Linked DNA regions of Lytechinus pictus. The main gene of each other region encodes a partner of the protein of the gene in region 2 in a complex. Links are inferred from orthologs where the notes say so. Each region holds a gene or a part of one and is shown on either strand. Other genes may lie near its edges.

What was found. The genes of interacting proteins can lie anywhere in the genome.
Region 1: ragulator complex protein LAMTOR4 homolog (region 2) and ragulator complex protein LAMTOR3-like share a complex: the UniProt entries of both Drosophila melanogaster proteins name them as parts of the ragulator complex. The link is inferred for Lytechinus pictus from reciprocal best matches to the Drosophila melanogaster genes Lamtor4 and Lamtor3.

The regions. Positions count from the first base shown.
Region 1 is NC_087251.1:16,375,472-16,383,025, forward strand, and holds the start of ragulator complex protein LAMTOR3-like, read left to right. Parts: upstream 1-4,538; 5' UTR 4,539-4,746; coding exon 4,747-4,755; intron 4,756-6,568; coding exon 6,569-6,603; intron 6,604-7,137; coding exon 7,138-7,196; intron 7,197-7,554. UniProt on the Drosophila melanogaster protein: Regulator of the TOR pathway, a signaling cascade that promotes cell growth in response to growth factors, energy levels, and amino acids. As part of the Ragulator complex, may activate the TOR signaling cascade in response to amino acids.
Region 2 is NC_087260.1:995,925-1,002,877, reverse strand, and holds the start of ragulator complex protein LAMTOR4 homolog, read left to right. Parts: upstream 1-3,950; 5' UTR 3,951-4,313; coding exon 4,314-4,316; intron 4,317-5,057; coding exon 5,058-5,141; intron 5,142-6,953. UniProt on the Drosophila melanogaster protein: Regulator of the TOR pathway, a signaling cascade that promotes cell growth in response to growth factors, energy levels, and amino acids. As part of the Ragulator complex, may activate the TOR signaling cascade in response to amino acids.

The DNA.
Region 1 (7,554 bases), on a different chromosome or scaffold from region 2:
AATATGCTATACAGAAATCTTTACATATAGCGATAGATGTGTAGATCGGACCACAAGCGTTGGAATATAATTGTATAAGAGCTTAAAGGGCGATTGTTTCAATCCATATACTTCACTGAGGTTTCAATTCGAAATAAACCAATCCAATTTGGCAAAATTCAATCTCTACTCATGGTCTTTGTCAATTACCACACATTTAAAATGTTGGGCAACATACCGTCCACTATAGTTGGGTAATGTATGTCGGTAAAAAATAATTCTGAGCAATTATTATCCAATTGACCAAATTTATTACCAAATTATTAGTTTAATTACCCAATTTGGGCAGATTTTAACCAATAGTTGTGTGGACATGCAGGGTTGGTTAAAAGTTGGGCATTTTTTTGCCCAACTATTTTAAGAGTGCATGTATTTGTAAAAATCACGGTATTTGTACATTTAAATTATTGCATTATTTTTCTTTTATCTCTGGCTGTTTTGAAATTATTTTCATGCAGGGTTGGTTAAAAGTTGGGCATTTTTTGCCCAACTATTTTAATCGCTGATGTGGTTTACGGTACACCATGTGGAGTGTTATAGAAACAGTGGATAGTAGAAGAAAAGAAATGGATAGGCGAGAAAGTGGGAATTTGAGAGTAGAGTAATCTTTCTTGAATGTAGTCCTGAAAAAGACTGTAAACCAGTAGAGATTGATGATTTGAAAACAGCTTGAGTAGTAGGATGGATGAGGAGATGCTGGCTTGAGTCGACGAGTAGAGATGATGAGAAGAAGCAGTAGAGAGACTCGACGTTTCGGGAAGTCTCTGACAGTCAACCTGCCCGAAACGTCGAGTCTCTGACAGTCAACCTGCCCGATACGTCGAGTCTCTCTACTGCTTCTACTCATCATCTCTACTCGTCGACTCAAGCCAGCATCTCCTCATCCATCATACTACTCAAGCTGTTTTCAAATCATCAGTCTCTTCTGGTTTACAGTCCTTTCCAGGACTACATTCAAGAAAGATTACTCTACTCTCAAATTTTCACTTTCTCGCCTATCCATTTCTTTTCTTCTTCTATAACACTCCACATGGTGTACCGTAAACCACATCAGCGATTATGCCACCATGCAAACCTTCAAACAACATCCAACTATTTTAAGAGTGCATGTATTTGTAAAATCACGGTATTTGTACAATTAAATCATTGTATTATTTTTCTTTCATCTCTGGCTGTTTTGAAATTATTTTCTTTGCCCATTCGCAGACCCTTTTATACATGGGACAAATAACTTCTCACAGCATTCATCTTTATGTCAAAATCATTACCTTTTTGCCTAGAGGGCCTTCTTACTCGTATATTTCAAAATCATTGTGTGTCGCATCAAAATTTCATCCCCTAAAAGTTTATGGAAAAATACGCCATTGATATAACAATAATCCTGTGTTTCGGGTGAGAATTATTCCCTTTATGTATATAAGGAGGAACAACGGGGTTCAAGAAATGAACTTTTTGCTATCATTTATATTTTTAACAGTTTATCTTATGTTCACACTGAAAAAGTTCCCGGTTTTCAAACCACAAACGGAAAAGTGATATACTGAAAGGTGATGAGATCATCGATATGTTTATATATCGATGACTATATTGCCAAGATATAAACACTATAATCTTTACACCAGATGACTGCCAAACACGAAAGATGGTATACTGCATTTTCTTAAAACAAAGTTTGTTGAATTGTGTCGGGTAAAGTTCACAGAGATATTCGGTTCAAAACATTATTATTCATGCCGGTTCCAGTTGATCCGGCGACAATTGCTCCGATGGAAAATCTGCACTTTAAGCCAAACATGAAATCAAACCTCCAAAACTAAATATATTCTTATCCTTATCTTTACATTATTCTGAACCAAATACTCTATTACAATCCTTGTAGCCCAAACCATATGCCCTCTGAGATATTAAGACCGGTGCAAATGTCGTGTACGTCATGCACCTGCAGCCATATAATGAGGGCTTCCCAAAACCGGACAGAAGACTAGACCATTTTATGTGACTTGAGATTGATACTTTCTGTATGCAATTGTAACATATTTGATTATCTCATTGTCAAAACATTAAAAAATGAGTTAGTGAAATTTAATGAATCATATTTTTAATTCCATGAAGAAAGATACGAGATCTTGGATGGGAGACACACAAAACTCACCAATATTGTTGACAGAAGTTATTACTCCCAAACAGCCCTAGCTTCTATTAATAAAATCTGACCCCCCCCCCCCAAAAAAAAAAAAAAAAAAAAAAAAAAAATATTCAAAAAAAAAGAAGAAATGATTGAGTTTTCGAGCTCTCTCCAAAACAGAAATAGGTGGCTGACAGTGTCAGTAACAGAATGGGGTTATAAATGATAGGAAAGTAATTTTGGCAAATATTGAGGACAGTTCATACGCCCCCCCCCCCCTGTTAACCAAAATAGTACTTTCGTCTTGTACTTCATTTTGACAAATTGAAAAATATGTGACATTTATCCGCTTTCTTTATTCACATTTCATGTTGTTGCATTTAATACTATTTGTGTTATTTGTGGCTTTATGGGGACATTTTAACCTTAAACCTATAAAAGAATCAAATCCGCATCGCCTTTGCATTGTTTTCCCCATTTCCGTGGTGTCTCCAAAGAGGAAATTGAGAATGTCTGCCTGGACAAAAGAAAATCTGCACAACGAAAAAAAAAAATCAATTTGATCATACAATCATACGAAACTACACTCATTGCCTTTTAGGGACTCAGAATTCACTTTATTGCCCTGATGATAAATCTCACTGACACAAATGAATTGTTCATAATTATTTCAACAACAAAAAAAACATAAAAATTCACACACTGAAAAAAATGGAAGGATACAATACATTTTCTCTGGTTCATGTCGATTACTCCCCCCCCCCCTTTTGTGTGATTTTGTCATTACGTGATCCTATATAAAAAAATTGTATTATAATAAAATTCTGCATTTCCACTTTTTTGTTAAGAATCATAACGAAAGTTAATAACTTTCATCGAGGATCTTTTTTCGCTAATAAAGGGAAAGAAAGGTTAATATAGGCTATATTCATTACAAAAATGATCAATGTATGATGATAAAGACCTATCAGTCCTTTCTAAAGAAAGATGGCGCTAGAGTCACAAAATAATATACATGTACATGCTCATTTCACTGATGTAATATCATGTCTCAATATCAGGTATGTATATGATAATCAGCGTATATAGAGCTTGAAGAAATTTGTTGAAAATTAAAACGCAGACGTTCAGTTGTAAGACAGGAGCTCTGAAATATGGTCAAGATATGATTCACTTGACTGGAGATACGTGCCTTTGTATTTCTATAACTGAAATACCCAAAAGGATTCAACCTTCGTCTGATTAAAATGCAACATAAAGTATTACAGGTTCTCTAGTCTAGTTAAACACATTTACTTAAAATGAAAAATGTCCCATTTGGGTTTATAACAATTTACTCCAAGTTATTTGGCCTAAACTCAGTCAATGTTGCTTCCTTGCTTTAACTATTATCATTTATATATCTGCTAGGATCGAAAGCTTAGGCCCCTTTTGACTTTCTAATTTACTCCATTGGCTCTCTTTTATTAGATAAGCAGTTTTTAGCAGCTTCTTTTTGCCATTTATATATCTCGTACAATGAGACCTGAAATAAGTGGAGATCGGAGAGGAACACCTTAACACCCGCTTTACCTTAGTTCTAGTCATTACTTATTGTCCCCTATTGAATTTCTCATATAGAGAAATAACCAAAGAAAATTATGCTACATTCTAAAGATCCAAAACAACAAGATTTTCTAGGCTATCCAACGTCACGGTGGGGATAAACGTATGTAGTGTTTGCACTAATGAGTCAACAAATTCAGACTATAAAAATGGACGCACATATTTAATATAAGAATAAAAAATAAAATTGGTTTACTGCCATTTGATCTTCCAATTATAAAAAAGCAATTTATGCAATAACAATCGAACTGTTGAACAAGTATTTAATGAGTTGTAAATTACGCTCTTACATAACATTATTTGTTATTATCGCTTTTTGAGGCCTTTTTTTATCGAGCATTGCACACTGGCGGTGAATGATTTGCCAGTATTGGGATGCATATGTAAAAGAAAAATAAATAGATAATGAAAAAAAAACTGTGTGGATCTTCGTTAAAAATCTCAGTGGCGGATTATATAGGACTTTGTGGTTGACGCGCAGATGTTTGCTACAAAGATGAAATAAAGGCAGTGCACATAATGGTGGGATTCCCTCCCCTCCAGTTAAAGCGTGTAAAATTGTATGATCATCCCTGTATTTTCATGCTACTCTGAAAAAAAAAAATATAATGTACAGACTATTGGAGAGTCAAAGATTTACTAATTCTAATATCTGAAATCGTTTTACGTAACAAAATTTATATCAAATTATATCCTGGCACTTTTTTTTTCTTTTTTTTGCCAAACTTTCAAAGCCGAGGAAAATAAAAGTAAAAAGTTACGTGGCTTTGTTGCAGACTATACAGCAGAGATCACGAGACTCACGACTGAAGCTGAAGTAGTGAAAGAGGTATTGTGGAGTCAGAAAGTAAAATTCGATGTCTAATTTTAAGTTATGAAATGAAATAATATTGACACATAAGTGAATACTTAATGTTAATCGAGCAGTGCTTCGAAAATTTGTGAGAATCGACGAATAAAGCTTGGCAGACGTGAAGATGGTTGAGGTGAGTAATCATTTTCCATACAAATAGTAAAATACGTGGGACTGTAATATAAATCGTCGCAGAGCGTACATTGATATATTCAGTCATTAACATTTGTCTGTCTTCTGATAATATGACAATTTCATCAAAATCTGAGAATCATATAAGAGTAGAGTTAGAATAATTCATTCGGCCAAATTCTGTATTATGCTCAGCGGCCTTAAGGCTTAAATCCACCAGACCTACTGAATATCTTGTGAACTTTTAAAAAATATAGATGATAATAGATCTAGCCTAGCCCTAGACCTAGTTGATTCTAGATTCTAGTCCAGAAATCTAGATCAAACATTCACGATTCTCGTTTATTAACGTTAGCCCAGATATCGGCCATTGCGCTCGTATGTTGGAACTTTGACTGGCGCTTAGCTACAGCATCTAAAAGGGGAAGCTTGATCACCCTCCTTGATTACTGCTTAATTCCCTCTTGTAAGTTGTATTATGTGCATGGGCAAAAAGGTGCGCAGTAAAACAAAAGAGCAAATAATATTGAAGCTTACCACCTTTCCAAATTGGTATATAACGTTATGGAAAATACAGAATTTTTATGACAAACATGCAGGATCAGCCGGGGTTTTCTTTGTTTGCCATCATGTTTGTAATATGTAATGAGGATCGTCCCTGTATGGTAGTGGATCGTATTACCGAACACTTTTCATGAATTCAATCATATCAAACACACTATTCTCATAAAATTCACCAAACTTTCACCATGAATACACAATTACCTACAAAATATAAATATGTAAAAATTTGGCCGAAATCGTTTTTCCTATTTACGATATTAGCTTCCAATCGGACCCCTCTTCGCATGTGAAATATTTTGGTCACTTGAAAAAGGTATCGTATTACCGAACGTGTGTTTTCTATGGGAAAAGTTGAGAAAACAACCAAAACAACAAAGTCACTGATGCGCTATTTTGACCATATCTTATTGTTTTTCGAATATTAAGACTTTGAAATTGTGTTTTTGACAATTTTTCATCATCTTTCTATTCAAGTTCTCTTTGAAAGGATGTTGCAAATTTTTGAGCATATGGAATTATTTTCTGATGCGTATGATGCGCACGTTCGGTAATACAAGGCCGGTCGGTAATACAATCACTCACTATACATATAGACGTTGTTTTACACTACAGGTATTGTCTTTTTTACAATGATTTCTCCACATAAGAAATCTAGAAAGTTCATTCACCTGCCAAGTGTCATCATGTGGTCGTCATTAATCAAGAGTGATAGACAATATAAACTTATCAGGTTTATAACAAGATTATTTAGTAAAAAATAGACGGTGAACTGTGGGAACGGAGGTCACAGAATCTATTTTTAGCACTCAAATTCCCTAATACTGTATGTCCTACAGGCGGAAGTGAAAACAAAAACTGTCTTCAGTAATAAGGACAACCTCATTTTATCGAGACATGATTGATGTTTGTTTATGAGGATATCCTTGTTTTCTGGGATGACACCTCTAATGCACCAAATACAGAGGCTTCAGGTTTAATTTAAACTCTTGTCTAAAGCTGTGGTTTAGCAAATTGTGACAGGAATCTTTAAAAGTACCTGTACAGGTATAATTGATATATCAGTTACTCTGATTATTCATAACTGCGTTAATATGCATAGCGGGACATAGTAATTTATATAAATTAGGAACTGAAAATTGTAGCACTTGATCACAATTTGAAAGTTTGTACAACTATGAAAACAGCTTCTATTTCAAAAGTTTAAACATGGTTCCATTTAAAATTGTTTCAAATGTTATTTTTGGTTGCAGCAACTGAAGAGATATTTGTGGAGTCTTTTGCAAATGTGAGTATTCAAATACTGTTTCATAAACATTATTTTGATTTTTTTGTAATCGGGGTTGGTCTTTAATGGGAGTGGTAGATTTTCAAGTGATCAAGGGCAAAAAGTGTAAAGATGGGGAGGATGTAAAGAAAAAAATGCATTGTTGATGAGATGATTTGCATCTATGAGATGTCTTGTATCTTTCTTTCATTCAATATTGATTAAAACTTTTTGAATTGCAAAAATATCCAATATTCCTTCACCTTTCTATAAAAATATTGCATTTATTTACAGACTAAAATGGCATGCTAGACTAAGGGTCTAGAGCAAAGTCCTCCACATCAACATGAATGCAGCCTCTCAACTCATTCTTTATGACCAATATTTGTATGTCAGTATATGATAAAGATGAAATACATGTCCTTCTCATAAGTGAATGATGATTGGTAGCAAAATATTTGAAATGAATAATTTTTTAATTTATCCCAAGTCTTTCTATTTACCAATGTCAAATTTTGAAAGATGATTTCATATTTCTGTCTGAATCATATTCAGGGTTGAAGGGCTAGAAGCCATAGTAATTACAGATAGAGATGGTGTCCCTGTTATTAAAGGTAAGTCCTACTGCGTTCAGTTTTTAATATATTTTGGGTTGAAAATGCCTTGGCAATTGGCAAAGTTTTATGTGGTTCAAACTTTTTTTCTTCTTCTACATGTAGCTTTAAAAGCAGAATCTACGGCCAATTAAAATTGATATTAATTAAAAAAAAATTTTTTTAAAGCGCTAAAAATTAAAGTATGAAAATGAGAATGGCGGCAGATCAAGATGGGGTGCAAGAGACATACAAGCACTATTTATTTTATATTCATATTATGATACTGATTGTTTATTATCAAATATCACTAATCCGTAATTGTGTAAAGTTTATACAAAAGTCTTTTGGTTGAATTGTAAGAAAGAAAATAGCTGAA
Region 2 (6,953 bases):
CAGCCATTTTAAACTCAATTTTTGGAAACCATCTTGGATTTTTGGACACACCAAACAACTGGCTGTCCTTTTAACTTGTCCCGATGTACTACTTCAACATTCAAACCATTGAATAGAAACCAAATTAAAGCCATCTAATTAAGTTATAGATGAATTGTGGATCTTTTAGCCTACGGCAGCCATTTTGGGCGCCATCTTGGATTTTCCTGGCGCGGTAATATTCACTCTGACCTGTATCAATAAATTCGTTTACCCACTCGACCATGGAGTATGAATCGAATTAGGACTTTCGGGTGGATAATGAGTGAGTTATATCAATTTTCAGTGAATGGCGGCCATCTTGGACGCCATCTTAAAAATAACTACTTTGCCGTATGCGGATTTTGGTAGATTTTTAGTATGTTATTCCTGAGGGCAAATACTGCCAGAAACAGTTGAAAAATAATTTGTAGCAATTTGTTCCGGGTCCAACCATATATTGACCCGTCTAGAATGGATGAAATCCTTGACTTGTCTAGGGGTATTTTGGAGGTTTGCCAAATAACATCTTAGGGATAGGGCGAGGACTTTCTAGGTTATGCAGGCTTATAACACTGGGCTTGAAACCCCCTTTTATTAAGTCCACCCCCCGAAAAATCAAACAAGCATAACACCGAAAAATTAATCGCTTAAGTAAAACTTTAAAATATCATAACTTTCATATTTTACTTCTGATTTTGATAAAATTTTCAGCATATATTGTGTGGTTTTTCTCGATTCAAATAATCTTTTCCATGAGGTGGACTCGCCCTTTAAGAGTGTATCTCTCTCTCTCTCCCTCCGTCACATCGATCGACCCTCTTCAATTATCCTCTCCCCAGTTTGTTCATATAGGCAGCGGGGGGGGGGGGGGTCCTGTCCCCCCTAAATTTTAGGTTGGGGGCCGGACAGACCCCCCAAAATTTATGTTGATAACCTTTCTTGTTCTTTTTGCTTGTCAATTTTGTTTCCTGCGTCCCCCCTAAATTCAGGTGAACCCCCCTAAAATTGTTGTGGTCCGCCCTAAAATTCTGGTTGATAACCTTTTTTTTTTGCTTGTCAGATTATTTCTTTTGTTTTAATTGCATCCCTCCCTAAATTTGGGTTGATAACCTTTTTTTTTTGCTTGTCAGATTATTTTTCTTGTGTCACCCCAATAAATTTTTGGTTGATAACCCCCCTTTTTTTTGCTCCACCGAGACATTTTTTTTCTTTGAAGACATTCATCATCTCAAAATAAGTTCTGTGAAATTTCTGAAGTCTGTAAATCCGTTTCTGTAGCCTAATGTCTTTTTTACGTACTTTTAAGAAAAAAAAAAGTTCTTGGGAAAAATAATTAGATCTATTGTTGACGAGAAATATCACAAATTCACATGCAACAAGTTGCATTCAGTTAGCTCCTAACGTATAGTCCTACCCGGCCGTACATGTACCTATTAGCTTGTAAATTTTATTGTCCTTTAATTCAAAGGAAATTAACACAAATAAAAGATAAAATAATTTTCAGAATACCTTGTAGATCTAGTCCTTGACCGAAAAATCAGTCTATTTCGGTCACTAGGATCTGTGCTTCGCAAAAAATCATTTTTTTCAACTCCTCCGAAACGGCAGATTTCCAGTCTTTACTTAACTTAAGTCAAGTTTCAGAATACAGGCTAACACGGTCAGTATATTTTCGTGTCTCGTGATATTCTTCTGTCCAAACATGACTGATAAACTCATAAAACTTGGTGACAGTTATGAATATTAATAAACTGAATATTTATTTGAATCATGGTTTAATTTCATCACGCTTCCAGAGAAATCACAACAATCGATAACCCCCGGGCGATATACCCCCCCCCCCTGGAGTTTTAAAGTTTTGGAAACTTGCTCTGGTAATTTAGAATTACCACACATGTATTTGAGCACATGGGACTACATAAAGTCTACAACTATTCAGTTCACCAGCTTGTCTTAGCTGTGAAAAGTAATCCCCTTTTCTCTGTTTCCACGGTCGTCCCGATTAGTGCAATCATACGCGGCACAGGATGGCATCTTTAACTTTGTATCAGGTATAAATTCACATTAAAAAGTGCTGTAATAAGAGTTGATCTGGTAAGTATAATTAAGAATTGACACTATTGCCGTGAACCAGACTCTACTTCGATTTTGACTTTTTTGGGGGAACTCGGCGTGTGGGGAGGTAACAACTTCCGGTGCTTCAACACGGAATAGGCCATCCAATCAGCGTTATTGTTCCCATCCAGATAAGGGAGAGATCAGTGAGTTAGCCCAGTAAGAGGACCAGTTCGAGGACAGTCAGACCAGTAGAAAATACCAGTAAAGACCAGCTTGAATTGGATATGAAGACCAGTGCATGAGACCAGTAACAACCACCAGAAACAAGACCAGTATAAAATTCCAATAATTTAAGACCAGTTTAATTTTTAACTGGACCAGTAAAATTTCAACTGGATCAGTATGACCAGTTAGACCAGTAAACCGATGTTCCAATTTCCAGAGTACCAGTTAAAAATTTTACTGGTCTAACTGGTCCAGTGTAACTGGTTTTTCCTTCTGGGAAGTTAGTTTTGTGATAATATCTGTGTGATTTTGTGTATATTGTGTCAAATACTGGGAGCTTATTGCAATAAAGTTTGAATATATTTATTGGATCGAGGATTGTACCATTTCATCTTATAAATAAACCCCCGCTTCAACGTCAAACGCGCTCTCAGACGTAAAAAAAATATGCTGCCACAAACAAATCTTATCTAGATCTATAAATAAACACATTTTTACAGCATGGATAAATCTCAACAAAGGATTTTTATCAATACCATGAAACTAAAAGAAATGTTATCAAAATTACTGTCAACAATTTGAAAAGCAATTTGTTTTTATGAAACCCGTCCCTAGTATATCTCTATGCCCTAGCCCTATATAGGGGAAGATCGGACACTTCGTCGATTTTTGTACGCTCCCAAACGCCCGAAAAATGCTCCTGGGGAAGTATCACTGATCTCTCCATTAAGTTAGTGGAGAGATCAGTGGAAGTATGAGAGTTGAGTAAGTAAATCTTCGCATATCAAATATATGGGGGGAAATGAGAGAAGAGAGTTTGGAGAGGGCTCAATGGTGGCGCATGGGAATATTTCCACTTTTATTACCAAGAAACCTCTAAAATATATTCATCTCAAATTTAAGGTGGAAAAATTGAAGGAAAAAAAATTAAAATGTAAAAATCGTCTATTCTATTCCTTCATTTCTCTCACATGTTTTGTACACAACCATCTCGCGATACTCAAATTAAAAAAAGGTCATTAAGGCACACACCACTAACTATTTCCCCATAGACTCATGTGCTATATAAAAAAGAGATTTGAAAAAAAAAATCGCCAAAAATAATTAAGTCTTAATAATGACAGCATCCACACCTTTATCATTTGGTAGTTCATCCAATATCCTATTCCTTCAAACGCTAAAGATATGAAAAGGTGTTTTGCAGCATTTTTTCGCGCTACAGGGGCTCAAACCAAGACTACATGCATGCAAGGTTGCAGTCACAGTGCTCACAGGGTTTCTTGGGCAACTATTCAAGTTCCCATAAAATCCAGCATTGACAAATTACTTCTCTCCCATGGCACTGAAAAGATCCAGTAGTAATCCCCAGGGGCCGTGGAACCGGGGGGGGGGGGGAAGGCTTCAGCCCCCCACTTTTTTCCAAAACCGTATATACACAAACGTAAAAATTACCACATGATTGTGATTTTTAGCATGGTCTGCTTTTGGCTCAGCCCCCCCCCCCACTTTGAAAACCGTTCCGCGGCCCCTGATCCCTCTCTGTAGTCTGTACCCATGTGCAAAAAATTGTTCAGATATGCACCGTTGATTTTATATGAATATTTTTCAACCATTACGTCATGGTACGGGTTAAAAGGGGGATTCCCGAAATTGCCGGATCCCATGCGCCCATTACTAACTCAACGCTGTTGGGCGCTCTTCCTGAGCGTTTCCTGAGCGTTTCATTGCGCTCTTTACTGTCGATGTACGTCCAATCTTCCACTTGTAGTCACCTGACCAACTGTACCTGTAGGCTGTACCATATACCAGTACGGTACCGGTACAGCAAGCAGTATTGCCTTGTCGGAGTCTTGGTCATGTAACGGAAAGTCCAGTAGGCATTCTGTAAAACTGCATATTTATTCATTGAAATCTGATTTTCTGACGAGTATTCACATCAGCATCTATTTCAAGGGAGTATAATTTGACAACAGTTTTATTGAAATAAAGTGCGGACAAATATCAAAATCATGGTAAGTAATTTGAGCTTTGTCTAACCCGGAGCTGAGCTGTGACCTGGGGCTGGACTCGTCCGTGTAAATGTCTGTAGTGTACTATTAAGTACTGGTCTAGGCTAGTGCCCGCAACAACAATTGTCCATGGTAATGGCTCATGTATGTTAATTTAAAGTCAAAAGGAAACGTAATGAGACGATTGCTCCGCAAAGTGCAACAATTGCTCCACTGAAAACGATTGCTCCGCCGACATTTACTCCGCATGCCGCATATGTGACCATTACTCTGCCAACATTTGCTCAGTGGACATTATTTTAATCCGTAAAATGTGAAAAATGCTTCACAGACGTGACCGATGAAATTTGGATCTGGAACATTTTTGCACACCCAAAATGATTTTCAGTGTAAATTTTAGGCATTCGGCAAACATCGGGAAGGAGACATCTGTTCTGAGGAATTTTTAGACTTTTATTATTTTTTGTATCTTAAGGATGGGTGTGTCCAGTAAAAACTAAAACCAATTTTACATCACAATTTTTACTTAGTCAGCCTAGCATTGATGACACATAGTCATAGACAAACTGTGTATAAACTAGAATACCTTCATTCATCTAGGCTTGAGCAGATGATAATCATGATTATTTCTCATCTGGATTAAAAGCTGGCACTTACTAAGATAATTTTGTTTTCTTATACATGAATATGTTTGGCAAAATATCTCATTTTCATCCAATCTTTTCTATTTTCAATATTTCACAGAGTGGACCAGGACCTCATAATCTTGATAAAGTACCCAACCAGGAGGGATACCTAATCCTCAATGATAGTGGAGCAGTCATGGCTGTAAGAACCAAGAACTTCTGTAGTCTTTTCCACTATTCCTCCTCCCATACTTTCTCTATAGTGCCTTGGGCCCATTTCTGTATCCCATCCTCTTTTACTTTGGGATCTTTTTTTTTTATGTGAATAGTAAAAAGAAGAAATGCTAGTTTTGTAATCGCAATGTTGAGGGAAGTTTGCAGATGAGATTTTATGGTTTGGTCACAATTACCTAAAAAGAACTGTTTGCGTGAATAATGCAATGCTGTACTCTCAATTTATTACATTGATATTTTAAAATTACTGTAAATTATGCAGGCAAAAATATTCAATGTATTTAGCTAAAACAGCAACAAGGGATACCATACAAATGTTCTCAAACCTTTCTGTGAGATCTTCCGAAGAAGGCAGACCATTCATAGACTGTTCGTATTAAAGTTTGCAGCTTGGTCAGTGGTCTTGTCCAAGATTTTTTTTAAACGTTAAAGTATACATCCAAAGAAAATTCACGAAAGTGATGATTATAGACAAATTATATATGAATGGAAAGGTCTTGTCTTTTTATACACAAATATGTCACTAAAAAGTCTTATTGATGTCGTGGAAATGCAAGAAATGAAATTATTAGAGACCCTTCTCAGCCCCCCAGACCGCGATCAAATACAGTCGAGAATAATGACGTCACATGATGATCGACTCACTCAGCCGCTCTCTAGCTCTGTGCAAGCCAGCAGTACAGTGATAGCTGATTCACCTTCCTGGTCTCTATTTTTCTTTGAATTTACCGTTTTCTTCATGTATTGTGATATCCGAATTCTGTTTTCGACAACTTCAGACTATAAGGGAACCAGAACTGTGTTATTTTGCCCGGTTTTTATTGAATTCTGAACTGGAAAGATCGATTTTGTCCACTCGACAGTCTTCGTTGTGTTGCTCTACTAACTATTGAAAAACTCCAAGCTGCACGGTCCCATTCACTTGCTCCCGATGCATGTTGCAGGTTACGCTGTTTGATCCAGTCAAAAGTCAAGGTAAGCATGTTTGGAAACTGTACTTGTTCTGACGATGCATTCAGGTCAGATGACAGATACAGATCTGATATAAGTTTAGAATCATGCATTTTGGCGTATACTATTAAAATTAAAAAGTCTTTATTTTAGAAATAATGTTTTTGCACAATTCCAGCAGATTTTTTCTTCAGATTTCTAAAACTGGTCAGGACTCAGGCAGGCGATTAAATTAATTCAAATTATTTAGGAGCACTGGTATGGACCATGGCTGAAAATCTGCTGTTTCAGAGGAATGTTTAAGTTTTTATTATACACAGAATTATATCACCATGATGCCGATGTCATGAAGCCAGACAAATTTTCAGCAGTGATTACCCACCCAAGGGTTCATTACATGCCGCCGCGCACAGAAAAATCAAGCCATAGAAGTCGTGTGTTGTGGACCCAAGAAGTGAGATCCCAGCACGAGCGACCCACTAGTTAGAAATCCACTGCCAAACGCGGTTCGTGGTGCGAGGTTAGTATACTAATACTAACCTCGCAATACGTGTGAGTGGTGATTACCCTGATTCCTGGCCCAAATCACTCACACGTATTGCGAGGTTAGTATTAGTATACTAACCTCGCACCACGAACCGCGTTTGGCAGTGGATTTCTAACTAGTGGGTCGCGCGTGCTGGGATCTCACTTCTTGGGTCCACAACACACGACTTCTATGGCTTGAATTTTCTGTGCGCGGCGGCATGTAATGAACCCTTGGGTGGGCCAAAATTAGAGTCTGGTGTTTCTTTCTGATTAGAGTGTTGCTGCATATATGCATGCGTAA